4 linked regions of the Oreochromis niloticus genome follow. Each later gene encodes a partner of the first gene's protein in a complex. Links are inferred from orthologs where the notes say so. Each region holds a gene or a part of one and is shown in the gene's direction. Other genes may lie near its edges. The genes, in order: ints9, ints7, brat1 and ints11.

The links.
Region 2: ints9 (region 1) and ints7 share a complex: the UniProt entries of both Homo sapiens proteins name them as parts of the integrator complex. The link is inferred for Oreochromis niloticus from reciprocal best matches to the Homo sapiens genes INTS9 and INTS7.
Region 3: the proteins of ints9 (region 1) and brat1 are in contact, whole or in part, in a cryo-EM structure (PDB 8UIB), measured with the Homo sapiens proteins. The link is inferred for Oreochromis niloticus from reciprocal best matches to the Homo sapiens genes INTS9 and BRAT1. Residues at the interface, in NP_060720.2 of Homo sapiens: Gly276, Met277, Gly279, Glu280, Cys282, Ser283, Asn284, Ala286, Leu287, Arg290, Asn291, Tyr315, Asp317, Ser318, Ala319, Gly320, Ser483, His484; in NP_689956.2 of Homo sapiens: Ala406, Pro407, Cys416, Pro460, Gln506, Lys507, Arg508, Cys510, His511, Pro512, Arg517, Glu545, Leu549, Gln552, Asp556, Pro557.
Region 4: the proteins of ints9 (region 1) and ints11 are in contact, whole or in part, in a cryo-EM structure (PDB 8RC4), measured with the Homo sapiens proteins. The link is inferred for Oreochromis niloticus from reciprocal best matches to the Homo sapiens genes INTS9 and INTS11. Residues at the interface, in NP_060720.2 of Homo sapiens: Glu127, Gly198, Tyr199, Ser200, Gln201, Lys202, Tyr231, Glu338, Phe339, Ile342, Phe343, Glu345, Gln352, Lys354, Val355, Tyr356, Leu357, Pro358, Glu359, Pro360, Pro361, Arg511, Arg512, Tyr513, Glu514, Lys515, Ile516, Glu517, Ile518, Met519; in NP_060341.2 of Homo sapiens: His94, Gln97, Ala98, His137, Leu138, His139, Gln140, Thr141, Lys274, His277, Tyr278, Lys280, Leu281, Phe282, Ile283, Pro284, Trp285, Arg291, Phe294, Ser449, Pro450, Ser451, Ile452, Pro453, Val454, Gly455, Ile456, Ser457, Leu458, Leu461.

What each region holds. Positions count from the first base shown.
Region 1 is NC_031980.2:1,194,858-1,202,196, forward strand, and holds the start of ints9 (integrator complex subunit 9), read left to right. Parts: upstream 1-4,324; 5' UTR 4,325-4,484; coding exon 4,485-4,637; intron 4,638-4,916; exon of another isoform or gene 4,917-4,949; coding exon 4,950-5,077; intron 5,078-5,167; coding exon 5,168-5,279; intron 5,280-5,353; coding exon 5,354-5,416; intron 5,417-5,727; coding exon 5,728-5,867; intron 5,868-6,008; coding exon 6,009-6,095; intron 6,096-6,312; coding exon 6,313-6,433; intron 6,434-6,544; coding exon 6,545-6,679; intron 6,680-7,165; coding exon 7,166-7,277; intron 7,278-7,339. Other genes in the region: pla2g7 (platelet-activating factor acetylhydrolase), read right to left, coding at 383-496, 1,087-1,258, 2,280-2,348, 2,449-2,542, 2,871-3,021, 3,234-3,361, 3,761-3,824. UniProt on the Homo sapiens protein: Component of the integrator complex, a multiprotein complex that terminates RNA polymerase II (Pol II) transcription in the promoter-proximal region of genes.
Region 2 is NC_031980.2:13,634,032-13,641,724, reverse strand, and holds the start of ints7 (integrator complex subunit 7), read left to right. Parts: upstream 1-4,677; 5' UTR 4,678-4,834; coding exon 4,835-4,928; intron 4,929-5,065; coding exon 5,066-5,195; intron 5,196-6,091; coding exon 6,092-6,238; intron 6,239-6,729; coding exon 6,730-6,867; intron 6,868-6,971; coding exon 6,972-7,018; intron 7,019-7,279; coding exon 7,280-7,479; intron 7,480-7,568; coding exon 7,569-7,691; intron 7,692-7,693. Other genes in the region: dtl (denticleless protein homolog), read right to left, coding at 20-93, 187-302, 1,125-1,190, 1,283-1,403, 1,596-1,657, 1,738-1,830, 1,923-2,060, 3,869-3,920. UniProt on the Homo sapiens protein: Component of the integrator complex, a multiprotein complex that terminates RNA polymerase II (Pol II) transcription in the promoter-proximal region of genes.
Region 3 is NC_031971.2:13,424,752-13,432,354, forward strand, and holds the start of brat1 (integrator complex assembly factor BRAT1), read left to right. Parts: upstream 1-4,591; 5' UTR 4,592-4,850; coding exon 4,851-4,977; intron 4,978-5,649; coding exon 5,650-5,798; intron 5,799-5,893; coding exon 5,894-6,041; intron 6,042-6,270; coding exon 6,271-6,727; intron 6,728-7,049; coding exon 7,050-7,157; intron 7,158-7,300; coding exon 7,301-7,392; intron 7,393-7,478; coding exon 7,479-7,582; intron 7,583-7,603. Other genes in the region: eif3ba (eukaryotic translation initiation factor 3, subunit Ba), read right to left, coding at 1-41, 155-293, 492-570, 663-785, 888-960, 1,050-1,260, 1,339-1,385, 1,480-1,546 and 7 more. UniProt on the Homo sapiens protein: Component of a multiprotein complex required for the assembly of the RNA endonuclease module of the integrator complex.
Region 4 is NC_031984.2:8,378,751-8,385,665, reverse strand, and holds the start of ints11 (integrator complex subunit 11), read left to right. Parts: upstream 1-3,899; 5' UTR 3,900-4,095; coding exon 4,096-4,123; intron 4,124-4,228; coding exon 4,229-4,326; intron 4,327-6,116; coding exon 6,117-6,190; intron 6,191-6,286; coding exon 6,287-6,515; intron 6,516-6,633; coding exon 6,634-6,732; intron 6,733-6,813; coding exon 6,814-6,848; intron 6,849-6,915. Other genes in the region: cptp (ceramide-1-phosphate transfer protein), read right to left, coding at 247-769, 2,752-2,881, 3,051-3,054.

The sequences.
Region 1 (7,339 bases):
TGCCGACGGCTGGTTGCTAGGTTAACCCTTTAATGTATGTACCACTCTGTCATGTGTCAGTAACCAGCACACGTTGCTCTCACAGGTAACGGCGTCAGCTGTTCGCCTCAAAGGTGAGAAGAGTTCAACTTTAGCTTTAAACACTGTAAAGCTAAAAGGCTACAAATGTTGCCTTTTAAGCCTTGATCAAACTTCAGAGAGACTTCTAACACACACCCACACTTCTGTCTTCTTATGAATTGCGTTTCCTGGAGTCTTGTGACACTTGCCAACTTGCCTCATGCTCGTGTTACAGATACTTTCTGCATCTTGTGACACATTTCTATTGTTGTGTTTGCTACCACACAATGCATGTCGCAGCCAGAGGTAACCAAAAGCTTACCTTCAGCGTTGACCAGTCAAACTGCGTCTCCAGAACATTTTGCACTGAGATTCCTGAGTTGATTTCAGTGAGTTTATCGAGAGCCAGAATGCATTCATCTGCTCTTTGTTTCACCTGAAAGATTAAACAAATGAATTCATTCTGTTTCTTTAAGGTGCCATTTACCTTTACATTCACGACATCTGTACAGATACGACAAATAAAACCATCATTTTTTCCCCTACTATGGGATTTATAAACTCCCGGTCTCCCTAAATTTTTGTTTATGGTGGGCAGCAAATCAGAGGGAGCTTCTCTTAAAGGGAGGGGACAGGAAGCTAGAGTGGAGCTGAGCTGCTGCACTTGGGCTCAGTACAAGATAAACCAGGATTGTGTTGAACTGTGAGTTTTGCAAAGCTACTCTGATGAACAAAAAAAAAGAAAAATCCCTCGCCTTAATCGTAGATTTAAAAAGCCAACTGCTGTCTGCAGTCCCTGATTCCTTTCAGCTTTAAGATAAACGGGATGTGACCACATGCTTGCTGTTTAACATAACGTGCCCAGATGAAAACAGAAGAATGTCAGCTAGAACAAACAAGGATGTGGTTTGATTTTAACATCAGTGCCAAGCTGCCTGCGAGCAAACGGGTATGAAGTTATGCAATCAAGAGACTGAATTTGAAACCCACAGAGGGAGTCTGTGGGTAATCTCTGCGACAACATACTTGTTTGTTTCTGAGGGGGAATTCGCTCTCTCCGTGCCGCAGAGCTCTGTAGTACATCCACTCCTTTACCAAGTTCTGTTGGGTGGCACCGGATGATTTTGTCAAACTTGCATTTGACCTTTCTGACTCTGGCTTATCACAAAAATAATATGTAGCTGACGCTGACTGGTCTCTGTGGGAGAAAAATAAAAAATAAAACCATAACTGGTAGTTCCAGCCCTAGGAACAGATATTACTTCCTTCACTTTACTTGGAACAATTAGGGTTTAGACACATGTAGAGAACACATCCTGTTTGAGGCAGCGTATGACCCCCTCTCTCTGAAAGAAGCAAAGTCACTCTCATGTTGCTGCTCTCACACTGCAGCCATGTGCTCTGTCTGCAGCTTTGTCAGCATGTCACCGGCTGCTAAAATCCAGCAAAATAACACTTCCATCACCATAAGCGACAGGCCAGCTGTGGCCATTATGTTCATCTCCATATGGTCCCCCTTGTCTGCATACTGAAAAGAATTGTGATGACCTGGTTCGTACCATTGTCTGCACACCCTTTCCACTCCTACTACACACGTAAACAGACAGCCAAGCAAACAATAGCAGAGGACAAACGTTCAGCTACGATTTCCTCCGAATGAAGATTACAAAGAACACAGATTTCAAACTCATTTTACATCGTAGGCCACATACGACCCACTCCGAGTGGGGGGACCACTTAAGATCAGAAACTGTCAGTGTAAAGATGTTTAAACACACAATTAATCCCTGAGATATCTTCATATGAGGAAAAGAAGTGTAATTTCAAAAGTTTCTCTCAGTTTTATGATAAATGTGTAAAATAAGAGAAAAAGTGCTGCTAGCTCATTGTGCACACTGTCATGCATTTAGAATAATATACTTTTTTTCTATAGTAAAAACATCTATAGTAGATGCTCGAAAAATGGGAACTTTTCTGTCATTTAATTTTTTTTAATCTATTAGTAACTATCTGGTGTAGCATGGACGTAATGGTCTGTAAAATTTTAAATACAGTTAAAAGTTCCAAAGTCTGTGCACTCCATAGCCTTCCAGTGGGCCCGATTGGAGTCTCTGCCTGGCCGATTCTGGCCCCTGGACCCTATGTTTGACAACCCTGCTATAGAAGGTTTTGGTGATTAATGGAATGAAAACTACATATGAACCAAATAGAAAAATTACCTGTGTTCCACTGATGCCACGATGAAGCCCTGAGAGGCCATTTCTGCACATATTGCTGAATACAAGGTCCTGAGAAACAATCACAGGAGCCACAGTGTGAGCAGAACTTGTAACGGGTTATTGCTGCAGGAGTGACGAAATAAAAAGAACAAATGCATTGTGTGTGTACCTAAAGGCTCCCAAGCCGTGGGAGAAGATGATCACGGGACATTTTTCATTCGATTTAAATGGAGCATCCAAATAGGCTGGGATCTTGAAGGACCCTGAAATAGATAAAAATGAGGAACATTCACATTGGCTATTTTTTTAACCACATTAGAAACTGAAATAAACTAGCTTTCTATTTTTTTTTTTTTTTTTTTTAGTGACTAAAGTCATATAATATCATATAATATTGCTGTCCTGAGCAAATACATTTGACTTTTACACCACAAAGAAATAGACTGTCAGGATGGAGAGGGGGGTGGGGGTGCAAATTCATTAATAAGTGTGCAAGCATATAAGACTTGAGAAAGCAAAGAAACAAAGAAAAAATAGTCCATTTTATGCCATGACATCATTAGAAATACTGGATTTTCCTAATTTATTCACCAAAGAGGTAGTTGAAGATCCTTTCACTGAGGGCCCTGTTCATTTTCATGAAGTCAGCCAGACCGTTAAAGTACTCCTTGCATGGGACCCAGTCAGGCTTCTCGGCACTTTCCATCTCCTGACAGGGATAGTACAGCCGGAAGAATGTGCCCTGTTGGAGAGACAGACAGCTAGTTCAAGCAACTCAGCAGAAGGCCATTTGCTCCCGTGATGTCAGCAGCCTGCGTGGCCCAAATACCTGCTTTCCATAATACCTGTGGGTACCCAGCCCAGCATCTGCAGCACACTCGAGAATGTCAAATACAAATATGTGAGCTCAGCTGTTACATGTCAGCATGAACAAAGGTTTTCTTTTGCTTGTACCTCTGCAGTGTGGTCCATCATGAAGTCAGTGCAGCCCACAGCGTTTGGGCCGTTGCCTGGAGGGATCCCAAGGTTATTACTGCAGCTGCTCCCCATGGTGAAGAAACTTAGCGCGGACCTCTTCTGGTCTGGTAAATAGAAACACGCACACATCTGTACATCAATACTGCTCCTCTCTAAAAGGGAAAGATAACAGGACTAAAAATCGTATTATTTCTGCACGGATGTTACTGACCGCAATGAATAAATGTGTATATGCAGAATGTATCATTATATATGCTTGACATTCATTTACATTATTAGTAGTATTGTAGCTTTTTATTAAGTAGTTTATTAGTATCAAATGAAAGTCAAAAACTTCTTCACTGTACTAAATGTTATGTGAGACCGAGTCGCGAAGTTTACGCCTTGATCTAATCACAGAGAGCTCCACACAACCGCACACTTGATTCATTTAACTAACCGGGTCAAAGTCTTTGTGCTGTCAGTTAAAACAAAAACCCAAAACGTGGCGTGTTAACTCCTACCTGTCCTCGCCCACGCGTTCAATCTCTTGACTCCTAACTGAAGAAACCCTCCATAAGAAAACATCGACTACAGCACTTTCGATAGCGACCTAACCAAACGTTTTCTATCTCCACTTTAGCTGCCGGTAACAGTAACACTCGTTAAATAAAACAAAAGGCCTACCGGAGATACAGAAGTGCGAGCGCTGCCCGGTGTTTCTACATCAGTTTCGCAATATTACCGTGGACTGAGAGCAATCACAGGATAAATGTACTGCTTTGGGAGTGGTTATTGTTTTTGTCAGTTAGCCGCTGCTAGCATAGGAGGGGGCTAGACCAGAGTAGTGGATGAACGGTGTTGAGTCACTGTATTAGTCCTGCCTCTGCCGGCCTAATGGCGTCCCCCAACTTAAACCTTAATGACCTACATGTCATATTATTTAACAGTTGGCAATCATGCTTCTATCTTTACTCGAATTACGGCATAGATGGCTCTAAATATGAACTCAACCAAGGCCTTTGAAATTGTGTCAACTGCTCTGTACACGGCTCTGGTTTATCGCAGCGACTCTCGCTGACAGCTCTGGAATCAGCGCGCACGTGCAGTTGTTTACAACAATCATCGACGCTTTAATTAATATTTTCATTAATATCGTGTGAGCCAAGGTGCTGTTGCCAAAGCAGCTGCATATGAGCGCTGGCTTCTCAGCAAAAATGGCACTTTTAAAGTGTCGGTACATTTGATATGACTCCACGTCTGTTGGGGGCAGTAGAGGACAGCCGAGCGGGAAACAAAGCGAGAAGGGAGCAGAAAAGCAGCGGAGAACGATGCTGCGTTAGCAAAGCTAACTGTTGTCAACTCATTTATCAGCAACTCCTTTTGTTAAAGATGAAATTGGTGAGTAAAAAGCAGATCAGTAAAGAGAACAATTAATGTAGAAATAGTCGAAAGTGATTAACTTATAGTCACCCAAAAGTGACTGTTAGCTGGAAGCTAATAGCGGTTTTTTTGGGTGCAGTTTAATAAAGTGGAAAAGGTGAGCAGCGAACAGCAAGTTAGTACAGCGTGAAGTGTTTAACTATGCATACGAAAACACGGAAACAAAACCCCTTTGACATTTTGGTGTCGGGTTTATCCTGCTTTACTGTATCTGTATCTTTGTACACCTACACACACCTGTGGTTTTAAGGGTGCATTTCCTCCTTGTAGTACTGTCTGTCGGGTCATCCTACATTGCCCTGCAATGTCCTCAAGTTCAAGTCCACCACCATCATGTTGGACTGTGGACTGGACACCACCTCTGTCCTCAACTTCCTGCCCCTGCCCTTGGTGCACAGGTGAGTCACTGACAGTAATTCATTCATTCATTCATTCATGGATAAGAGATGTGTTTTGCTTGATGATGATGATCCTTTTTTTTTTTTCAGTCCAAGACTTTCCAAGCTACCTGGTTGGGTCTCTAAGGATGGAACAATAAATTTGGGAAAGGCACGAGAAGCTGTTTGTAATGTGCTTCGGTTACTTGGCGTATATTTCAACGTACTGCAGTTTTTGTATGAACACATGCCGATTTATCTGTGGGGGGGAAAATCAGTTTTGCCTTATGCTTGCAGGAGCTGAAGGAGTGTGCAGGGAGGGTGTTTGTTGACGCACAGCCAGAGTTCTGTCTCCCTGAGGTAGACATCCCTGATACTTCATCTCTGCATCAGTGTTATAGCTTGTGCTACTCATTCAGAATGTCTCTGCAAAACAGGGGCCACTGTAAAGCATCAGAGTTGGAGCAAATCCACCTATTTTAAACAAATAAGAAAAAAAAGAAACCTGATAGGCCTGCCACAATTGACAAGAAGAGGATAATCCACTCAGAGAAATCAGTTACTATGATCAGCACAGTGTGATTACTGCGTCTTTACTTTCACAGTAGGTCCTATCTTAATAAATACCTGAAGTACAACAATGATATCTATTTAATCTGAATAACGCACAGAGAGAACTGTTGGACCTGTCCACCATCGATGTCATTCTTATCTCAAACTACCACTGCATGATGGCCCTGCCTTACATCACAGAGCACACCGGCTTCACCGGGACAGTGTACGCCACGGAGCCCACGCTGCAGATTGGCAGGTGACAGATGCAGGGGATGATTACCACATCTTACTATTTTTATATTATTTTTGTGATATCATTATTTCATTTGGTAAAATGAGATACAGGTCACACGTCTTCAGTTGCGTTTATGCTCGTTCTTCCTCTTTTCTTCCTTAGGCTGCTGATGGAGGAGCTCGTGAACTTCATGGAGAGAGTTCCTAAAGCCCAGTCTGCCACGTCCTGGAAGAACAAGGAGATACAAAGGTAGACTAGTTTTGTAAAAATATTCTGTGTGTGTGTGTGTGTGTGTGTGTGTGTGTGAGAGTTGACACATGAACTACAGTTACTGACTTTGTTTTAGTCTGGTCATTTTTGAAGTTTCATTTTACCTTCACCTAATTTTTCTGGTGTTTTGTTACACCTCCACTAGCAGGGTGGTGTAACTCCACCGTTCAAATGAATACTTATGTTATTGCATTAGGATGCTCCCGGGGCCGCTGAAGGATGCAGTTGATGTGTGGATGTGGAAGCGATGCTACAGCATGCAGGAGGTTAACTCTGCGCTCAGCAAAGTGCAGCTTGTGGGTTATTCACAGAAAGTGGTGAGAACTGCTTATGTCCAGGAGATATTTAAGATTTCACATTTTTGCTTTCTTGCAATGGTGACTTCTCCTTGTCTTTTCTCTCGTTTTTTTTTTTTTTTTTTCTTGCAGGAGTTGTTTGGAGCTGTACAAGTCTCCCCATTGAGCTCCGGCTACTCGCTGGGCAGCTCCAACTGGATCATCCAGTCTCACCACGAGAAGGTGTCCTATGTGTCTGGCTCGTCTCTACTCACCACACATCCTCAGGTAGGCCAGCAGGCTTAATGCTTCACCATTTCAAAGTCTACTGGGCGTAACCCTTGAAGCTTTTTCCTGAGCTGAGTGATTTTGCTAATATTTCGGGCCTGTTTACAGAACAAACTGATAAAATGAGTGTGCAGCAGTCAGGAAGGGTGGTCTCTGCTCGTGCAGCTAAACCACGTCATTGATTTCTACTGAGGTGTCAAAACTTGTCATTGAGGGTCCAGCGGAGGTCATCAGATGTCGTCTTTATGGGGGAGAAAGTTAAAGTTTGAAGGGACTGAGGACAAAGCTGTCACGATCTAGAGTGTAAAGAGTGCAGTCTGTTATTCGTTTAGTCACAGATTTCCTTTTTCCTGTGCTCAGAGTTTCTTTTGGAAGCTAAATCTTTAGGCGAGTGTTTGTCAGTGCACGCTGTAATTGTTGGAGAATCTAGTCTGTTCTGTCCTGTCACAACTACTCTGCAGTGTTTCTCTTCTTCTCTGCTCCCAGCCCATGGACCAGAGTTCCCTAAAGAATAGTGACGTCCTCATTCTGACAGGCCTCACTCAGATGCCTACTGCCAACCCAGATGGCATGCTGGGAGAATTCTGCAGTAACTTGGGTGGGTTTTAATGTAGCGCTTAGATTGACGTGGTACCAAATGTTGAAGTCATTCTCGTATCA
Region 2 (7,693 bases), about 12 Mb from region 1:
GAAGCCTTTCTTTTCTTACCCGTCAACAGCTCCTGAAGAGATGAGGGTGTGCTGATCCCTAAACAAAACCACTGTAACACTCTGCTGGGAGTCCTGCAAATAAGATGCAGTAGCTAAAGATTAGATTTCCATTTGCAGCATCGCTCTTTTCATTCCATTAAACAGCTGATTGTCGAGAAAACTCACCACGCTCGGAGCCATGCCGCGCATGCCGCCCCGTCTCTTCTTCGTTTTAGAGGGAGGGTTTGTCTCTGCTTTGTTGTGAGCTCCGCTGATCTGGTTCACCTGTCTGTAGAAACCATCTGAGGGAAAGACACAAGTTTGATTAAAGCATTCATATGAAAGTCACTATTTTGTATGACCACCTTTATTCTTCAACATAGTCTAACTCTATTCGGGAAGCTTTCTTGTCATTTCTTTAAGTAGTCTTCAGGAATAGTTCTCTAGACTTCTTGAAGGACATTAATCACAAGGTTGGGGGTTCGATCCCTGGCTGCTCCAGTCTGCATGCCAAATATCATCAGGCGAGATACTAATCCTGCATTGTTCTCCGATGCATCCATTGGAGTATAAATGTGTGTGAATATTAGATAGAAAGCACTTACATGGGAAAGGCATAGAAAAAAAGTGCTTGTATGAATAGGTGTAAATGAGTAAATGAGGCAAGTTGCACAAAAGTGCTTTGAGTGCTCAGAGTAGAAATGCGCTTTATAAGAACGAGTCCGTTTAACAGTTACTGATTTTCAGTCCAGTTTTTGTGTGAGTTAGCATACCCCAGACTTTTCTCCCTGCTCCCTTTCTTAAGAACAGCCTGAGACCGATGTTGATGAGGCTTCAGTTAACAGCAGACGGATCAACTAAAGGGCTTTCTTTGAAGGACACACTGCACACAATGCCAAAATACACCCAGGTTTTCAGGCTAATGGTTCTTTGGGAAACACCTTGGTGGTGCAAAAGTACTATTTTATGCCTTTCAAACTGAGTGGTCGTGGCATTTTTCATAAATTCAACTAAAGAAACAGGAAAAAATTAAGTGTTTTTGCTACAGGCTGCTAGTAACAAAGTGGCTAAAGATATGATTTAAAATTTATTGCTAAATTCACTATTATTGTTCTGATCAATACCTTTTTTGCTGCATCTCATGTCCCAGACCATAATATTTCCATCTCTGGCTCCAGTGGAAAACACAGCTGTGTGACAAAAGAAAATGTATTAATCACATGATACAACAATATATCATCAATGCACAACCAACACGGTGTTAGCTCAGTAAAAGGTATACCTTTCTCCTCTGGTGCAAATGCAACAGACTTAAGACTGCAGAGGTGGCCCTTGAAGCTGCCTAACAACTCTCCAGACTTCACATCCCAGAGCCTGGCCATCTGGTCACCCGCAGCAGTTACCTGAAGAGATCACAGATGACCAAAGCATAATAAGAAAAGGCTTCAGAGTTTTTAATGAGTTCCAACAAAATAAAGAACAAAAAGAAAAATTAGTAAGGTAGATGGAATTACATGAGTCATGCATTTGAGGGTGACGCATAAAGATCTGACTTTCTGCAATTCTCTGACTAAACAGAATAAATTTGCACTTACTAACTGAGCCTCCCCTGGCATCCAGGCGATATCAAAGACAGCATTCTCATGAGCCAGCCATGCTGCAAGGTTCACACACATTTAGCCACCGACATTTCAAAATACATGACATGACAATTATGAACACAAGTCAAAAGAATACCTTTAAGAAGTGGATATTTACGGCTCTCTGTGTTGTAGAACCTAACAATGCCTTCTTCATTAGCTACTGCGAGGATGTTCTGCTGGTCCCTGGCTGAAAACAAACAGCAGAAACGAGACACTGCAGTTAGACAGATTAATGATAACAGGTCCTTGCACTCACAATGATAAGCACAAATGAATTACCAGAGGAGAAAGCTAATCCAAACGGTGGCACAGAGTCGCCAAAGTTCCCATAGGAGATATGTTCATCATGTCGGACACATCGGTAGCCTTCAAGCAGGGAGCTCAGAGGGTACCTGGACCAGGGATCTGCAGGGAGAGCTGAAGAGAATGATGCATGGTCAGAGGAGGGAAATCAATGAGACACAGCAGTAAAACTAACGGAAAAATCATTGCAGATTTAAGTGGACAATCATCAAACTGCTTTGAGCTGATATTAAGGCAACTGTAACTCAAATAACCACTTGTTACAATTAAGATATGCAGAAGAGCATCTCTGAGCATGCAACACATTGAACCTTGGAGTCATTGCAGAAGAAGACTACACCAGCTGCCGCTCCTGTAGGCCAAGAACAGGATCCTGAGGCTGCTATTCACACTGGATCAACAAAATTGGACAACAGAACACTGGAAAAACATTGTCTAGTCTGAAAAGTCTCGATTTCTGCGGTGATGTTTGGATAATAAGTTCAGAATTTGATGTAAACAGCATGAAAGCATGGATCCATCCTGCCTTGTATCGACAGTTCAGGCTGCTGGTGGTGTAATGACGTGGGGGGTATTTTCTTGGCACACTGAGTATCATGTTGTTGTTGCTGACCATCTTTTATGAACACGGTGTACCGATCTTCTAATGCAGGGGTGTCAAACATACAGCCCAGGGGCCACAACCGGCCCGTGTAAAAATGTCAAAGAATGCCTAAATGTGGATTTTCGGTTTGTACTTGTGAACCGATCACGCCACGAGAGTCCAAACTGACGGTCCAGAGATTTGACTCATTGTCATTTTTACAGCCTTCTTAGTAACAAACAAATCACCCCTGACCTGCTATACTATACCAAAATAAGCACTAGACACCATTAAAAATAAAATAAATGAATAGAAAACAGAAAATTAGCTGGGTTTTCATTATAAACGAATCAATGGGCAAGTTCCTATTTTATTTAACAGGAAAAAATAGGATGTATTCTTTGAATTACCAGAAGATTTTGAGGTTTTTTTCTTTTGGGACCATTTACTATAATCACCTGTATGTGTAATGAATTTAGACTGGTAACAGTGAGGCTCATATTTTATATACATATCCTTAAAATTTTCATAATATACTCAAACATCTTCCCACTTTCCATTAGTCTGGTAGTCTGCAGCAGCTTGGCCTACTTCAATTTTATCTATACGTGACCTTTTACTACGTGACACCCTTGTCTAATGGCTGTAATGGCTGCTTTCAGCAGGATAACACCATGTCACGGAGCTCACTTCCTCTCAGACTGGTTTCTTGAACATGACGATGAGCACACTGTACTCAAATGGCCTCCACAGACGCCAGATCTCAAGCCATTGGGATGTGGTAAAACAGGACATTGCATCGTTGACGTACAGTCGACAAATATGCAGAAACCGTGTGATGCCATCACGTCAATATGGATCAAAATATCTGAGGGACGCTTCAACCAACTTGTTGAATCTACGCATGGAAGACAAAAGAGGGTCCAACCCAGTGCTAGCCAGGTGTACCTAATAAAGTGACCTACGATCATAGATCGGCACGCTCATCTTCTCACTTGCTCTTGAGTTGTATAAACCAAAGCCAATCAAAATGTGAGAAACTGTCCTGATATGTACTACAGGTATAAGGCAGGACATATTGTTGATCTACCACCCGTTGGAGTCTGAACAGCCCGACAAAGACATTCACGAAGAAAGTAGAGTTAAACGTTAAAGTCCACACTGAACGCAAAAGAAAAGCAAGTGCAAATGATACTCTAGGAGCCCTCCTGGCAGCATGACTCCTCCAAATATAAAGCAGAGATGTTAGACTGCATTATCTTCCATGGTAGACTAGCTAAAGCCCAGCCATGGCCGTGCAGATAACCCAGATCTCCCCAAAAACCCATCCCTGTCTCACCATTCTGCCTCCGTCTGCCCACTCCTCTGTCCACCACTGAGCGGAAAAGCATCCCTGCACTGCAGCACAACTCGATCCTAAGGCTTTTGTATAAAAACGTAACGTTTTCCTCGATGTTTAGCTACTGGTGGTCCGCTTTCCCTACCGATGCCGGGACACTGTTTCCCGCGAATAGATCGTCCGAGCAGAAGGACTGAATTCCCCGCTAAACTTGCGTTACGCGCAACCATTGGTGGAAACGGCGACTTCCTGGGCAGGAGCGCTTCTGCTTCCGCTTTCTTTGTAAAGTTTCCCACCATAACTGGAGAAGGAGACGCCCCTTCAGCATAAATAAATATTTTTTAAAACGATTAAACTAATAACTAGCCCCTCTTTGCATAGTATGTTTATCCTGTTAGACAGTTGTTAGTTTAGTAAATACACTTTGTTGTATACAACCACTGCCAAACAAATGCTGCATGTATATGGTGCATTTAGTGGTGCAAGTATGTGTGACAACACACAATTTCAGGTTGTGCGCAGTGTTGAACTAGAAAATGAATATCTGTGACTGCAACAAAAGTTATGAAAATCACAAGTAAAAATGTTCTTTTCAACAGAAGCACTAAAGTAACAAAGGTTTAAAAGTCACCATGACTATGATATCTCCAATGTAACTGTTGTTATTTAGAGTATTATGGTGTTACCGATTCATCCATAATCTATCATTTGATGCTAAGGTGATACTAGAATAATATACTAATACATATTTCACGTAGATATTTAACGTAAATCTATTTTATAAATAGTCCCTAAAACAGCTTGGTAGCTCGCGACCATGACAACTGGCGTTTTATTGTGAAAGTCAATCTCCAGACCGGATGTTCTGTCTCTGTATCCTCAGTGTTTTCCTGAATACCGCCTGAACAGTGAAATGCTAATATCTCATGAGTGTATCTTCTTTTAAGGGGTAAAAACTGCACAGTAATGTCGCTCTCCACCGCACGCTCATTCCTGTCAGAGGCTTGTTATGGCGAACAGGAGCTCGACGCTAACTCCGCTCTCATGGAGCTGGACAAAGGTGTGTTAGCTCGCTGGCTAAAGACTTAGCATATGGTTCATTGATTGTGTTCTGATCCGGTGTGTCGTTTCCTCGTAATGTGTTAAGTGGAAGCTTCCTGCTTTGTTGTGACTGGAGCATTTCCACTTTATTTTCAGGGTTGCGGTCGGGGAAGCTCGGTGAGCAGTGTGAGGCTGTGGTTTTGTTCCCCAAACTCTTCCAGAAGTACCCATTTCCCATCCTCATCAACTCTGCATTTTTAAAACTAGCAGACATCTTCAGGCTCGGGTATGATTGCTTTAGATGATCATTTATTTGTTAAAGGCTACTTTACTGACAGTTGTTTCACACTTTCTTTATAGCTGAATCTAATACAGGCATCCCAATGCATTTCAGAGTGTAGAGAAAATTTTAATAACATCTCTAAGTAATTGAGCGTACAGTTTAACCACAAGCCTAAGCCGTCAAAAGAAAATGTAAACACTATTCGCACACTCATGTAGTTCACATAATCACTCCCAAGCTAATGCAAAAATAAAATAAACAAACTCTGAAACACCAAAAAATAACAGATAATAGATTTTCTTCTTATATTTAATGAATAATTGCGTGTCTTTGATGTCTCTAATGAACTTGATGTTTATCAATCTTTAAAAGTACAAGATACTTTAAACTAAGCATACCCAGTAAACTGATCATTGAGGGCAGGCCTGTTAATGTGTTATTGTGTTGTGTTTGAACTGTAGTGAGATATTCAGGGAGTATCTGTGTATTTTATTTTACTTTAGAAAATAAAAAAAAAATTAAGAAAAGTATGAATAGATGTAAGTACAGAGGGAAAAATGTTGGTGTGAGAAAGGTTTTAAAAATAAAAAAACTATAATTATTCTTCATGAAAAAAAAGAAAGGGAAAAAGTTGACGGAAAAGAGAGAGAGAAGGTTCCAAATAAGAGGATTTGGGGAAAAAGTGAATTTATTTCACTTTAAGAAAGAATAAGAACTATTCTTACTTAAGTGGATTTTTCAAACTTTAATTTTATTCAAAAGTGCCTAAATAAATAAATGTGCGCATCTTATGCACTTTTTAATAGAATGTTTTTGAAGTTGGTAAGATGTATTTAGAAGGTGCGAGAAGTTAAAGATGAGCTTTACTGTGCCACAAACATCTTATTTCTCTTTTCCAGTAACAACTTTCTGCGTCTCTGTGTACTCAAAGTGACTCAACAGAGTGAGAAACATTTGGAGAAGATTCTCAATGTGGATGAGTTTGTGAAACGGGTGTTTTCAGTCATCCACAGTAATGACCCTGTGGCCAGAGCCATCACTCTGAGGTAACAATGTGAAATGATGATTAAAAACGCGAGTGGCGCATCTGACCCTATCCCTAGCACACTCTTCTGTCAACCCTCTGCATGTCCTCCTTCACTACATCTACAAACCTCCTTTGTGGCCTTCTTGCCTGGCTTTGGCATCTTTTGTGCAGTGTATCCAGTGTCATTCCTCTGCACATGTCCAAAACATCTCAGCCTTGCCTCTCTAACTTTTACTCCAATATGCCCAACCTGAGCTGTCCCTTCTTTCCTATCCTGTGCATTCTCTGTAAGAATCGTAACATCTTCATCATACATGTTAGCAGATCTCACTAACATCTTGCAAAACTTCTGCTTCACTCTTGCTGTTATCCTTCTGTCACAAATCACCCCAATACTAGTCTCCATCCACTCCACCCTGTCTGCACTATCTTCTTCAGTTTTGTTGTGCACCATCTTTTCAGTCATCTCAGATTTTTAAAAAGAAAATTCCTGCTGTCTTATGTGTTCAGGATGCTTGGTAGTTTGGCCTCCATCATCCCAGAGAGGAAGAATGCCCACCACACTATTCGCCAAAGCCTGGACTCTCATGACAATGTGGAAGTCGAGGCAGCCATCTTTGCTGCTGCAAGCTTCTCTGCACAGTCAAAGTAAGGAAACAATGACTAAAAGTGAGCTCTGATGTATGGGATGATGTTTTAGATGATTTTATTGTTGTGTGGCTTTTTAATTAATTTTTATTTTTTATTTTCAGAGACTTTGCAGCTGGAATTTGCAACAAAGTTAGTGAGATGATTCAAGGTAAGATCTTTATTCTTTACGTGAAGATAAACGAGAGCTGTCGTGGTTCAAAGCTTCATTGTCACTGATGTCTTTTATTTTTAATTGTCACACTAAACTGAGTACAGCCATTAAAATTATTCTTTTTTTCATTCTGAAATCACGGAGAAAAAGAAACACAAAACACTGCAAATACACATTTTGCTGAACCCAAAGAAAACATTTGTCACGTGCACTGCATCTTTTACATAATGTTTGTATTGGTCTTTTCTTCCACCTCAGGTTTAGACACTCCTGTGGAACTGAAGCTGAAGTTGATCCCCATGCTGCAGCACATGCATCATGACGCCAGCCTGGCGTCCAGCAGCAGAGAGCTTTTACAGCATCTGGTGAACTCTTATCCTTCCACCCCCATGGTCATTGTCTCCCTGCATACTTTCACCCAGCTGGCCGCCTCTTCCCTCATAGATATCCCCAAGCAGGTAGACCCAACTTGCTCGCACACAGCTATGTGTCATTTCTTTTAGTTTGTTGTGGTGCACCTCTGATTTGGTTCCTAATCTGTTTGCAGCTGCAGCTCCTCCTTCAGTACCTAAAAGATGATCCGAGAAAAGCTGTGAAGAGACTTGCAGTTAACGATTTAAAGCTCCTGGCTAAAAAGGCTCCTCACCTGTGGATAAGAGAAAACACTCAGGT
Region 3 (7,603 bases), on another chromosome or scaffold:
AGTCGGCCCTGGAACGTCCACAGCCAGTACGCATTGTCCACCTAGCACGCACGTAAAGGTGGAGAAAAATGAAGTGAATGGATGACAGAAAAAGATCAGATTGCATTTCCTCTCATCTGCAAAGGACTGACGAGGCCTGTGGAGCGCTACGCACCTTGTGGCTCCACCACGAGACAGAGGTGACAACGTAGCGACCCGTTGGATCCCACTCCACGTCAGAGGCCATGTAATGCTCCGCTATGTTCATCATGGTGCAGTCTGACGTGTCTACAAAGGCGAGAGCTCCGTTCATACTGAAAGGAGAGGCAAAGCGGTTATATCCACGTACAAATACACTCATCTCTACAGATATTAAACAAACACAAGCCTCAGATTCGCGTTAGAATCAGGAGCTTAGCTCTCATACGAGGTGTCAGAAAAAATGTTTACTTTGTCATCAGTGGCTTCTTATATTCATCTCACACACACACACACACTCAGATAAAACCTACCTCCTGAGCCCAGCCAGCACCATAAACTGTCCCTGGGGGCTCCAGAAGATGCTGTTGGCCTGCTGCTTGTCAAACATCTCTGTGAAAGGAAAAGTGTCACATTCAGTTTAGTGGACACATTAGAAACAACAACGCTCTGCCATAACATTGCATGGCTGTCCTTCTACTCACTTATGAGCTCGATCTTGCCGTTGTTTTTGACATGATAGAAGGAGGCGTTGATTCTTGGCGACTCGCCGTGAAGGACAGCAAACTTACTGCCATTGGGCTCCCATGCAAACGCTATGATGCTTTCTAGAAGGAAAACAACACGAAGGGAAACAGATTAACTTCCTTTCTGTGGAAATTAGAATTACTTGCAGCTCATTTCTGTGTTTGTACAAATACATGTCTTACCCTTCATCTCCACCACATCGACAGGAACCTGCTTCTCTCTCATGCGGAAGATTTCAAAGTTGGTAACGACACCCTAAGAAGGCAAAAAAATAGTCAACTTATTATTTCTTGTTTTTTAAAATTCTGTGACATATAAGCCGTTTGCCCTCCTTCTATGAGTACCTGTGTTCCTTTGGGAGTCCTGTCAACTTTCACACACAGATAATCCCCGTTTCTCTGCCAGTGCAGCTTGCAGTCAACGACATTGAAGAGATTGCGAACGCGGATCTCCTGACGGGAGGGCATCTGCATCAGAGTCACCCTGGCTGGGATGTCTTTGTCCTCGGGTACCCAGAATGCTATGATGTTGTCACCAGGAGACCACGAGAAGTCCCTGAAGATGCACAAAAATTAATATCTCTACACAAAATGCGGTCACAATTTAAAGCATGAGCGCATGAAGGACTCTTACTTTATCCCAGTAATCTTGAGACTCTTCTTGTCCAGCAAGCCCATAGACTACAAGAAGAAAAAAACAAAACAAAATATAAACCTTTAATATCATTTGAACATTTCATTTAAACGCATCTAGACTGTTTTCAGGCCTACTTACCGGAGTTTCATAGATACTCAGTGTGTCTGGTGTCATCCTTGCAAAGAACTTCCCATCATGGCTCCATCTGATAACAAACATGTAAAATTAGAAGACACATCCAAACTCTGCAAGAAGCAGCAAATTTGATTTAAATTAGATTTAAAAGAGAGAAAGCATAATACGGACTTAAAAATAGGCCAATGTGCAGAACTCTCGCAGTGGAACCCTCTCTTCTTCTGTCCGGTCAGAATGTCCCAGATGATGATGGCCTGTGGGTCCTCCTTGGTGTCCATCAGTGGACTGAAGGTCACCACATACCTGGAAGCCAGCACAACCACACATTAAGCTCAGACTGTGGCTCACAGGCCAACTCGGCACCTCTTTAGAGTGCTTTATCTGCACATTAATCATCCTTTGCTGTCCCCATGTCATGGTGCAACAACCCATAGGATTTAGGTGACGTTGCCTTATTTACAGGAAATAAATAAATCACTAATGAATAAACACTTGAACGGGATACTCTATAATATAACTATAATGTGCTTCTTTGGATTAAAGTCGACTTTTGATTACCTTTCACATGGTGAGAAGTCGATGAGGGACACACCCTGATGGCTGAACCTCTGAATCTGTTTGAACTTCTCGCCGCCCCACAGTGCAATTCCCCGCTGGTGGAACGTAGCCAGGTAGGTACCTTTAGGAGACCATCGGACGTACGTCTCTGTCCAGCGCTGCATCAAAGCAGGAAAAACATCAGAACTCTCCAAACCAGTGACTACTGACCAGTCATGTTTGATACGAGCCCTGCATTTCCCACCAACTCTGCGTGAGTAATTAAAAACTCACCGCTCTCTCTTCAACTGTGATTGGCTCTTTAGCGTCGTTGGAGAAAATGGCAGTCCTCTCTCCAGCTTCATAAATCACACTGTACTGGTCACGGCAATCTGGGTCCTCGATCCAATGGCGCATATTCCCCTGAAAACACAAACAGAGTTATTGTCGCTTGCACGGTTTCAGGATAGAGACTGTCCTGTCGATTTATGAAGGTCAACTTAATAATGAAAGTGCTGACATGAAGCTATTTTTGCCAAACTAATTCTAAGTGTTATAAACTGATTCATTATATTATGACTGAAAAGTTAAGGTAACACTTACAAAGTCTTTGAAAGGCTGCTTTGCTGGAGCTTCCCATTCATCGCTGATGTTCATGTATCTGAGAAAAACAAAGGTACGATTATTTACTTGTATTCCAAGTCTGGCAAGCAATACCTGGACAATGCATTGAGTGGTACTGCATACTCACTTGTCAAAGTCAGTGAAGAGGTTGACCCTAAACGTGTGCTGCTTGTCGAGTTTATATCCATCTGCGTTCTTGACTGCTTCGAGGGCTTGAGTAGGAGAAGCATACTCCAGGAAGATGTAACTGTAAACGAGGAGAAAAAACAATTACTAAAAAACAAAACAAAAACTCTGCTTCAAATCCGGAAATCCACCTTGAATCAAAATAGATGCACAAAAGAACATAGAAGAAAACAACTGCGGTCATACCCTTTGGTCATACCATCCGCCTCTGGGTAAAACTCAGTCGTGATCTTGCCAAACTTGGAGAAGATCTTGTGTATGACGTTCTTGAGCTTTTCCAAACGCTCCGGGCCGACCTGAGGGACGTTGTCCACCACCACCACCGAGTCTATGCCGTCTGCCTCCTGGGGTTTCTCCCTCAGGATGTCATCAAGAAGCTCTGAAAAGTGAAGGAGGAGGGTCAGGGTGATGAACAAGCTGATAGGACTGTGTGGGGTTGGGGTTCTCATCTCATTTTAATGTCGACCTTCTTTTCATATACATGAACCAATCTAAACTTTATAGCCACCACTTCAGTTACTGGAAGGGAAGACTGCATCGTTGAAACAAACAATTCTTTTGTTTAAATTTTCTTTAGAGATGTGCAGGTTTAAGCTTCATGATTTATAAGTAGACAAAATATAATTACATCATAATAAAGTTAATTCAATAGTACATCTCCTTTACACTCACTGCTTAATACACATCATTTTGATAAGGATAAAGAACCGCTATGCTGGCGTGTTTAGCTTCACAGAAGCTATTTCATTTGTGTCCTTGTTTAACTTCAGCAAATTAATATTAAATGGTACCAATTTTGTTGTAAATTTACCCCAAGGTTTCTACTATACATAAATAATTATATTGTGACTACTAAGTACAAAACACGTGTATCTGATGAGTCATTTTACCACAACTGCAAAACTTGCACAATTGAAAAGCTCTAATGAGCAAACGCCCCTCAGACCTGGGTTAGGATTACCATTGAGCTACAACCAGCTGCCCCATTTAAACTACTTTATATAAGCAAACAGCACAGAGAAAATAATGTGCCCTAACGGCTTTACTAGCTAAAATCCTGTTTCGGTTTTTCAGATCGTATCGCACAGGCCCCAGTGAGTGGCTGTGTGGGGTCTGGGTGAGGCTTTAACGGGCGTTAAGTACACTGTGATAACGTTATGTTGGGAGTTTTTTGGAGAAAAAGGGTGGTGTCGCTGTTGTATTCCTGGTAATTACGCTTATGCATCCAGCTCATGGTCACTGTTCACTATTTACTATTACTACGTGCCGGTGACCAGAGAGGCTAGCTAACTAGCTTTGTAGCATCTAAAACATCCCCACCATTGAGCTCTTAGCTAACTGCTAACAGCAGGCCGGAAAGCCGGCGTTTTTCCTGTGACTACTTACCGTCGTCATCCACATCGTCCACGTAGTCCTCCGGGTCGCTGAAGGAAGGCTCCTCCTCTTCATACTCGGGGTCGTCCACCATATCCACCGTTTCTTTCATTTAACAGAACTACAACACGGACTTTTGTCTACAGCGGAGCAAAAATCCCGAAAACGAAAAGGCTGGCGATCCTCAGCCGGTGCAGCACCATGTGCGGATCCGTGAAAATGGACGACGTGACGGAAACGCGACACCGGAACCTCCTCAAAGGCGCGTGAAAAGGCTGCGCAGAAGCAGTAAAGCTGTAAAGCATAGGGACCGGAAGTACAACAGCTACTGGTGGTAATTTTCCCCCACAGTGATGTTTAGAGATCAGCGAAGAGCGCAGCGGCGTGAGACCCGCCCAGAAGCACGGAAAAGGAAACGACGCACCGGTAGATCCGAAACTGTTTCCCGCGAGACGTTCGTTTAGTAAAGTACAAAAAACAACGACTTTGTGTGTTTAAAGTGGCTGCTTCAGTTTGGTCTGTACTGCATAATTTAGCTAGAGGTCACATTTACATCCACATGAGTGGTTAGATAATGTGTAGACTTTATATAACTCCTAGCTGTAAAAACCTAAGCTAGCAACGGCGGTTATTAACACGCACACCTTAGCCCCATGGACAGAGAGTGTGTGTCACTGCTGCCCCGGGTCTGTGAGGTGCTGGCGGCCTCAGGGAGCTCGCTGCCCGATGACACCATTCTGGAGAAACTGCTGGACTGGTTCACAGCGCTCACCGAGGCTGGTTAGTAGTACTGACCCTAACAGGATCGTGTCTTTATTCTTCCTCCTCTCCCACTATCTTTCTAATAGGAGGATCAATTCAAATATTATATTGTTAAAAGTATCGATACCATCTAATCGATACTTTATTTCTATATTCTAAGTTCAGTGTGTAACCCTCTGACCTGGGTTGAATAACAAATATTTTGTAAATGAAACAAACATGTGATGACTGTCTTTTTTGTGTTGACTGTCACTTCTGCTTGATTTAAAGCCTATAGCATATTTGAACGACACAAGCTGAGACAGAGACAAGCACATTTACATTCCAGTTCTCCGAAAAAAAACCAGCTTCAAAATACATGAAAAGCTGAAAGGTGTGTTTTAAAGAGCCCTCATTCTCCAGAGAACTGATCTAAACTTAATACCATGCAGCGAATCACTGTATTTGTAGGTGATTATTACTCAGATTATATCACCGATATTTGCAGATAACATTTACATTTTGTAAAAGATCCCAAAACTCAAAGATACTTATATATATGTTATATTGCATTAATAAAGATAAATTTAAATTTAAAATGTTCCTTTTTCATGTCTTTTGTACCTTTATCATTTCTCTTTATGGTGCACATAAAAAAGTGATCCCGTGTAAATCTGTATCCTTGTTTTTCTTTTCTTTCACTCTTTGAAGGGGAGTCTCTGCTGGAGGCCTGTCCGTGTCTGCTTGAGTTCATATCTGCTGTGATTCATGACACGGCTTCAGCCCCAGGTGTCCTCTCCTTCACTCTCAGACTCATCGGCTTATTGGCTGCTGCTGAGGACGCCTTCAGAATTCTTAAGGTAGAGCTTCTGACGCCTGGTGTATTTAGTAAACTGTTACAAAATATTCCAATGCTTATCTGCCCTATCATTGTGCCTCCCTCTCTCTCTTGCAGGAGTCCTTAGTTCTGGATCTTGTCTTTAGCTGTAAGCACTGGCAGGAGTTAGGGCTCTGGGAGGATCCCTGCATACGGATTGGCTGGATCCAGGGCTTAAGGACCACACTGCAGCATCCAAATGGTCTTAGTTTCTTTATACAAGCAGGTGAGTTTTTTGCATCGATTCATGAGGGGGGGATCATTAGTATTAAGGATAATATGCTATTTCTATTCGTCCTTTCATTTGTTTGCTCCTGCATATCAAATTCAGGGTCACTGGGGGCTGGATCATTCCCAGCTGCCATAGGGCGAGAGGCACTGTGCTATAGGTATTATATTGTTGTAATTCTGATGCATCCTCATATATATGTATTATATTTGTTTGGTTTTTTTAGATTTCATTGAGCCACTTCTGCAACTCCAGACAGACACAAGCCTATTTGTTGCCTCAGCTGCCAATCAAATGCTCGCCCACGTCCTGCTCTTCTGTCAGCCTGTCTCATCTGTAGGATGTAATGGCACCGATAAGAAGGAAGATGAGCAGAACACACGTGCGTCCAAAGCAGTTGTAGAAAACCCAGCCGAGCCCATGGAAATAAACCAAGATTGCACCGCTGTTGTCGATGCAATCTCAGAGTACCTCAAGAGGGCGCTGGGGGTTCCCAAGGGAAGCACACAGCTTCATCAGTGTCAGCAGACTCTCAGACTGCTGGCTCTGCTCCTGGGCCAGACCAAGCCTCCTCTGCGGGACAAGCTGCTGCAGACAGTCACAGCTTCTCTGGAAGAAATGGTGGCAGCAGATTGTTGTGAACTCACACTGCCTCTGATGGATGTCATTCTAGCTGCATGCAGGTAAACCCCTCATAAAACACAGGAGAGTGTCGCTTTATAGAGTTGTCTGTCCTTTTTTGTCTCTACTAGAGATTATTTGGATTTTAAGTAGTGACTTTAAGAGGAAGGTGAGGACAGTGGAGCTTCCTGGCTGAATATGCAAATCTGCTAATAGATATAGCATCGATGGCTTTGTTCTATTGATCTATGCAATACCACAGGACAGTGTAATGGTCAGCCATCATCCACAGCATTTACCTAGTGGTTGTTTTTAAGTATACATTAGTGACTGTGCTGCTGTTCAGGTTTAGTTTATAGACTCTTGCTGTGCTTGCTTCTGCAGCCGCCTCCCAGACCAACGCATCACCCGTCTTTTAACTTTCATGTTGAACGCCAGGAAACCTGCTGACCTCGTCCATGCTGCAGCTGCTTTTCTCCGCGGCGGCCATCAGTAAGCACAGCTTCTTCAGCCAACACAAACTCTGTACACGAACGTCTGTAGAGGTTGGGTTTTCTGTTAAAAACCCATGGGGATTTGTCATTATAGTATCTGTCTACAAAATATTGTTCCTTTTCTTCTGGTTTTATGTGCAGTGACCGTGTCCACACAGCTCAGTCTGTGAGATTACTGCTGCTACCCCTCGACATCATATCTGGCCAGAACCTACTAGGCACAAACACTGCAGGTGACCCACAAAGACGTACACTCTTGAGAAAAATCTGTGTTATCTTGCATTTATGCTATGGAGTAACATGAGATCTGGGCCTGTAGGAGACATGCATCGGTTTGCCATGACTGAGCAGCTGAAGAGCAAAACCTCCTGCATCTCCATGATCAGTGTGTGTCTAACAAACACACCTCAGATCGCACACATGGTGAGTGTAAGGACAGGAGAG
Region 4 (6,915 bases), on another chromosome or scaffold:
GATTTAAAAGCAAAAGATTAGTTAATAAAAATACATTCAAAGGTCCATTACGTGGAGGAAAATGTACACAATCTTATGTTAAAACATGTATACAGTAGTTTCAAAATTAATCTTAGTGGTATTACAGCTAGTTATGACACAATCCAAGCAGCAGAAGCATCTTGTTCAGCAGCCTTTCACCAAGGACAAGTTACAAATATTTAATTATATAAAGTATGAGCCGTCAGATATTAGCACTTCTTGCTTCTAAGGTAAATCAAGCAGGTTATGTTGAGCATATAGGTCCTCTGTGATCTGGTACACCTCAGAGATGAGAGGTAGGGCCTCCCCCAGCTTGGCCACAACTTGCTCAGGCGGGCCAACATTCATTACTTCGAAAAAGGTTTGGCGACCAGGAAGCACGAGGAACGCCATGCCCGCAGCCTTACGGATCATCCACGGATGGTGCTGGGCAAGGGACTCGTTGTAGGCCTCTGCACACAGGGCAGATGTTTTACTGTCTTCTGTGCTGGTGCGCAGGCGATCCAGGAAGAGCTCCAGCCACCTCAGAGCGCGGTGGAGCCTCAGCAGAGTACGACAGCCAGACTCTGGGTGGCTTCCTTTCTTGTTCACATCCACGAGATTATTGTCCAGTTCGTATTTTACCATCGACTGCACAGTAGCATAGTGAGAAGCGTTCTCACCCTTCATATAACTCACAAGGATCTGGATCTTGCCGACAGCATCCTTAGAAATGAAGCCAAAGACACTTCCCAAGCTGTTCAGAAACCTATTACAAGGAGTAAAAACACACTCAGTTAACACCTGGGTGTCCTTTTGGTCTACTATTACAGCTGAGAGTATAATCAGTAAATTCTAAATGTCTGCAAATTATAATCAGTTCAGTTCACATGAGAAATTCCAAGAATTCACTCACAGACCAGAGCTGAAGCTCAACTCTTTCCCTTTTATGCTGTTCCTGCTGCAAAATATTTCACATACTTTTCACAATAAAAATGCAACATTTATGAAAGCTGCTGCAATTTGAATTTCAATTATAATTACAAATTCCAGTCATTTCTAAAATATTATCAAGATGCAGTTATTATTGTGCCTCAGCCTGTTTCGTAATGCTATCGTGTTGCCTTTGATTCCTTTACTTTTATTTTTTGCTCCTAAAATTGAAGAGAGTCCAAACAATACCCTCTGTCAAGCTGTTGTGTGTTTAGTCAGTTGAATTTTAAGTTAGTTGTATTTCAGTGAACCTAACTAACTAACTAAACCTTATAATCAAACAGCCCTGAAAGTCACACCGTTTGTTGCTGTGTGACATTCAGGATTTTTGTGGTTCAGAGTGGGCCTTCAAAAGGGCCTGGCAGGGCACGCAAGCACAATCGATTGATGTAAAGTAAAGGCAATGAGTTTGTGTTACCTTAATTAAACAATATTAAATGAATTTTATGGATATTTTGACCCTTTGATAAACAAAACTGTTTGTTTGCCTTTTGAATGCAACAAAACCCTCACTATACAGCTCTGGTATTCGTTTCTTTTTTCTATTGAATCCTTTAATTGCTCTTATATAAGAAAAACATGGAGCTTTAAAAAGGAACGCTCATGCTAGCATTACCAGTTTTGCAAATACTTTGTATTGTCGGCCTGCTTCTGTCATCACATTTTATTGATTTTTTTTAAAACCAGAAAGTCCACTGAGAATAAAATCTCTTTTTCCACAGAGACCTAGCCAAGAAGGTACACTAATACCAGGAATATGATCCTGGGATCAGTCTGTCGGTAAAGTAGACCCTTTCATATGTTTTGATCAGCCACCTATCCCAGCCTGTGATATGACCCTTGTTTCACAGACATTCGACTGCTGTAGTTTTGCAATTGAAACTACAATATAACTTTCAATACAATCCAATTTTATTTATTTAAAAATCACAAAAGTCACCTTAAAGTGCTTAACACTATAAGGCACAATAACCCTACAATAATACAGAGAAACCCCAACAATCAGACAACCCCCTATTAACAAGCATTTTGGCAACAGTGGGAAAGAACATTTCCTTTTAACAGGAAGAAACCTGTTAAAAGGGAGAACCAGGCTCAGTCAGGGGCAGCCATCTGGTGCAAGCAGTTGGGGCTGAGGGAAAGGAGACATGATACTGAGGCACAAAGTTGGATGCAGAAAACAGAATTGAACAAAAGGGGGATTTGATTTCAGGTTATACAATTGATTTTGAAAAGAGCTTTAATGTGTTTTTCAAACCTGTGGACATCTCCTGCAATAATGAAGCTGTAAGGACTCATAAAATAATTAATTAAAAAGCAGCAAATTTTAGCCCACCCCTATGTTCTTTGAGGGTCTGTAACCTGGAAAGTTTTCATGCCATGAAGGTGACACTTTTATTTATTCATTAAACATATGAAACTTAACATGTATGTATATATATATATATATATATATATATATATATATATATATATATATATATATATATAGAGAGAGAGAGAGAGAGAGAGAGAGAGAGAGAGAGAGAGAGAGAGAGAGATAGATAGATAGATAGATAGATAGATAGATAGATAGATAGATAGATAGATAGATAGATAGATAGATAGAGAGAGAGAGATTTTTTTTTTAAAGAAGAAGAGTCAGCTAGATCAGATATAAATCTCAAGACTTGATCTTAGCTCACAGTAAACACTCTGTCCTACATTTACCTTGCTGTGATCTGCTCGCCTTAGTTTACTTCTACACTGATCACTTACTTTACAAGCCCACGCCATCCAGCGACGTACTGTTCTAGATAGACTTCTTTATTTTCCGACAGACACAACTTAAAAGTGTCTAGGACCTCCTGGAGGGAGAACTTCTGGTCTTCTGAGCCTGCCATGGTTTCTACCAGGAAGTGCAAATGACACAAACAGGCACGTAAAAAATGAATGAAAAAAATGTATTTCGGGGCTACAAACAAACCGGAACTGGGTAAAAATGTAAGCCCTGTGGTAAACGATCAAGAAGTGAACTCGTCACCTACAAGAAAAGTTAAAATTGAAAGAAAAATTACGCATTTCTTTTTCTCGACAACGTGAAGTGACAGATCCTGTCTGTTCTTATCCGGTTCTACTGCGCAGGCTCTAAATTGGCGACTTTGTCTTCAAAATAAAAGCGAGGGAAATTTTTACCTTAATTGCTTCTTGGACTTATTGAAAGAAGTTATTATAACCCAAACACTGATCCCCCCGCACCTAAACAAATATTTTTGTTGCATAAACGTCACTGATGTGTGAAAAATAAAAAGTGACAAACAACATAGCCTTTGTATGCCAGAAATGAACTTTTATAAATGAATGCACCTGAAATCCCTGCAGGCAGTGCTGAAATTAGGTTAAAAAAAAAGAGCTCCAGACAGGTGAACTGCTACCTGAAATGTCACTTGAAATGGTAACTGGTGTGTAGGCAGTGAAGCAATAATAAGTAAGCAAAGAGTAAGAAGCAGCTGGGCAGGATGAGAGGACTTTAAATATCACTTTGGCCAGTTATCCCGTGACACCGTTTCAGTTTCCAAACCATAGCAGGTCTTATTAGCATCTTGTAAACCTTCCCTTTTATTCTTAATGCTATCCAGACTACGTGATGCCACTTTTTCTTGGTTACTCATTTTTAGAGGGCTCATACTCCTTATGCTGAAAATCTATTCACACATCTATCAGTTCAGTATAATTAAAAGTGGAAGACATAGTGTTTCTTACAAGAAATATAGACACTTGAATTTGTTTTCAAGGTTTGCTTGAAAGGAAGTATAGATTATCAAAATGACATATGGAAATAGTCTTCAAAACATTACCCAGGTGCTTTCCACCTGTTTTCTACAGGCTTTCATAGCAAGGGGTGTATTATTGTGAAAGCACTGGACGGAAGTCCTTCCTGTTAGCCCGACGCTGATAAAAAAATAAAGTCGGTGCATGAAATTAGCTGCATGTTTTAAAGCTACACACAATAAACGTTCCCATATATTTCAGAAGTTATTCAGCTGACACATCCTGGACGTTTAGGTCACCTTGGTGTCATTTACCTGTGTATATAAAAAAAAGGCTGCCCAATGAAAAAGCATGCCTGAAATAAAAGTAACGCCACTCGGTGAGTACCGAAGCTAGCTAGCTAGCTGCTGCGCACTGTTGTGTTTATTACCATTACTAAAGGAGTGTAATTCTGAATTTTTATCTTCTGTTCTGCCCTTCCAAGGTGCTGGACAGGATGTGGGCAGGAGCTGCATCCTCGTCTCCATCGGAGGCAAAAATATAATGCTGGACTGTGGGATGCACATGGGCTACAACGATGATGTGAGTGACATAGTGCATTTGTTATAGCAAACATTACAGTCATGTAATTTAAACACTATGGCATTTTTTACCCTTATTGGTTTCCTTTATCTTATTAGTAGTTATAAACAACCTGCACATAGCATACTGACAAGAATCCCAAATCAAAGCCCTACATGAGTCTTGGGCAAAATTAAAGACTCTAAAGTGAAACAGAAGTGTTTCAAACATGACAGCAAAAGTTAAGACTACCTAGGCTGCTTTACACTGGGAAGGTTTACAAGACTGTAGTGAGATCTGCTGACAAAAAGACAGGAGGCAGGTCTGAAGAAGTTAAGATTTTCAATAGGATTAGAAATGAGTACGTCTGAGAGACATTTCATGTTGAGTGATTTGAAGAGCTAAGGCTGAGATGGTTTGGACATGTTGGAGTGTTTGGGGGTTTTTTTTGTTTGTTAACATATATAGTTTTCCTTAACCACATTGAGGGCTGAAGCGCAATTTCCAACCCTTCTATTTTGCTGATGTGTGCTATACAGGTTTTGGCAAATGTTTTGGGGCTTTTGGGGAGCCAGCAGATATCTGTATGCAGTTTTGGAGTTGTTACTCAGAAAAGTAATGTGGTACACATTACTGTTTACTTTTTGTAAAATGAATGCAGTATATTTCTAAATTACTCATCGGAGAAGTTAATTCATTACACTGCTACTACTAACATCACTTTCACATTCCTGTGTAACTTGACCTGAAATACAGTGTCACATAATTATCATTTAATATAAACCCATGACTACAGTCCCACACACTGACACAAATACCTATCCTAATGAGGACACTAATGATATTTCTTATTTAAAACCAACAATAACACAAAGTAAAATTGAAAATCAGCCCAAAGAGTCTTAAAAGGGGTAACCACAGTGATTCTACTTAAGAAGATAGAGAGAAGAGTCTGACTGCTCATCAATGCTTTCGTTACATGTTGAAGATCAGGCTCTACCTGCTGGGCCTGGGTCTGCATACACTCAGCTTGAACATAACTTTGGGTTCTTCACTTTTTTTGTGTTAGCCTGCTGTCTGCGGGATGTTTTTGAAGAACCGATGGTGTGTTAGCAGTATCACACAGTTGTTACTGTCTTGGACTGTCTTTGATCCTTACCATCAAATTTATTGCAATAAAAGGACAAAGTGGGGGTTGGTGGATCAGACGGTGGTCTGAAGTCTGACGATCCCTGGTTTCAAAAACTAGCTTGTGGTATATGGAACATCACTTTTTGGGTGGAGAAGGAGCCTGAGTTGGTGTGTGAGGATGAGAGATTCAAATTTGATATAGTTGGACTCACCTCAGCGAGTAGCTCAGGCAATGGAACCTCTTGAGTTGCCCTACAGTAGGTGAGAGCAGACAGCTTGTGTTCCCTACTTGTACGTTGAGGTTTTCTCCAATGGATGAGAGGGTTGCTTCTTTGCGCCTTTGAGTCAGGAAACGCGCATTGACTATCGTTTGTGTCTGCGCACTAACTGACAGTTCAGAATACCCAGACACTGAGTGGGGTGGGACTCTGTTATTCAGTGATTACATTGGCAGTAAAGGTGTGACCAAGCTGGCGGAGGTGGGTGAGGTGGGCTGGGCTTCTCTATGCAAACTGCTGGTATTTGTGTACATTCTGACTTGGAATGCATTTTAAAAACAGCTATTATGAAACAGTTCTTCTAGAAAAGAGACTCTCCTTTTGAATGCACTGTTTCTACCTTTGAAAGAAGAAGATTTCCATTTAGTAACAGTCCTATAACAGATTGTTTTATCATTGCAGAGACGTTTCCCAGACTTTTCTTATATAACACAGAATGGGCGTCTGACAGATTTCTTAGACTGTGTGATCATCAGGTTTGTTGTCATATTTGTTATCTTCTTTATATTGCACCTTTTTTTAAATCATCTCAACCTTGTGTGTAACATAGTACACCTTTCTACGTTTTTCAGCCATTTCCACTTGGACCACTGCGGTGCTCTGCCCTACATGAGTGAGATGGTGGGCTATGATGGACCCATCTACATGACCCATCCCACCAAAGCCATTTGTCCCATTTTACTGGAAGATTTCCGGAAGATCACCGTTGACAAAAAAGGAGAAACCAACTTCTTCACCTCGCAGATGATCAAGGACTGCATGAAGAAAGTGATTCCTTTGAACCTGCACCAGACTGTCCAGGTGCAGTGCTGACATCATTTTTGACCACACACGCACACACATCTAATAGTTGCTTCTGCGCCAGCTGCTGCTTCTCTTTTGATGGCAATTCAAGCTGTTTGTTTTGTGCTGGTGGCAGGTGGATGATGAGCTGGAGATCAAGGCGTACTATGCAGGCCATGTCCTGGGAGCTGCTATGGTTCACATCAAAGTGGGATCAGAGTCTGTGGTCTACACCGTAAGTGTAAACAAGTCTGCGCTCTGTCACAGTAGGTGAATTTATCAACTGCAATCTGAGAATAATTTCTTTTTATTTTAGGGTGACTATAACATGACACCGGACAGGCATTTAGGGTAAGTGAACTTTACTGCATTTCTTGATAATCTTCTGGTCTTTATGTCAACACATTCAGCAGAAAGT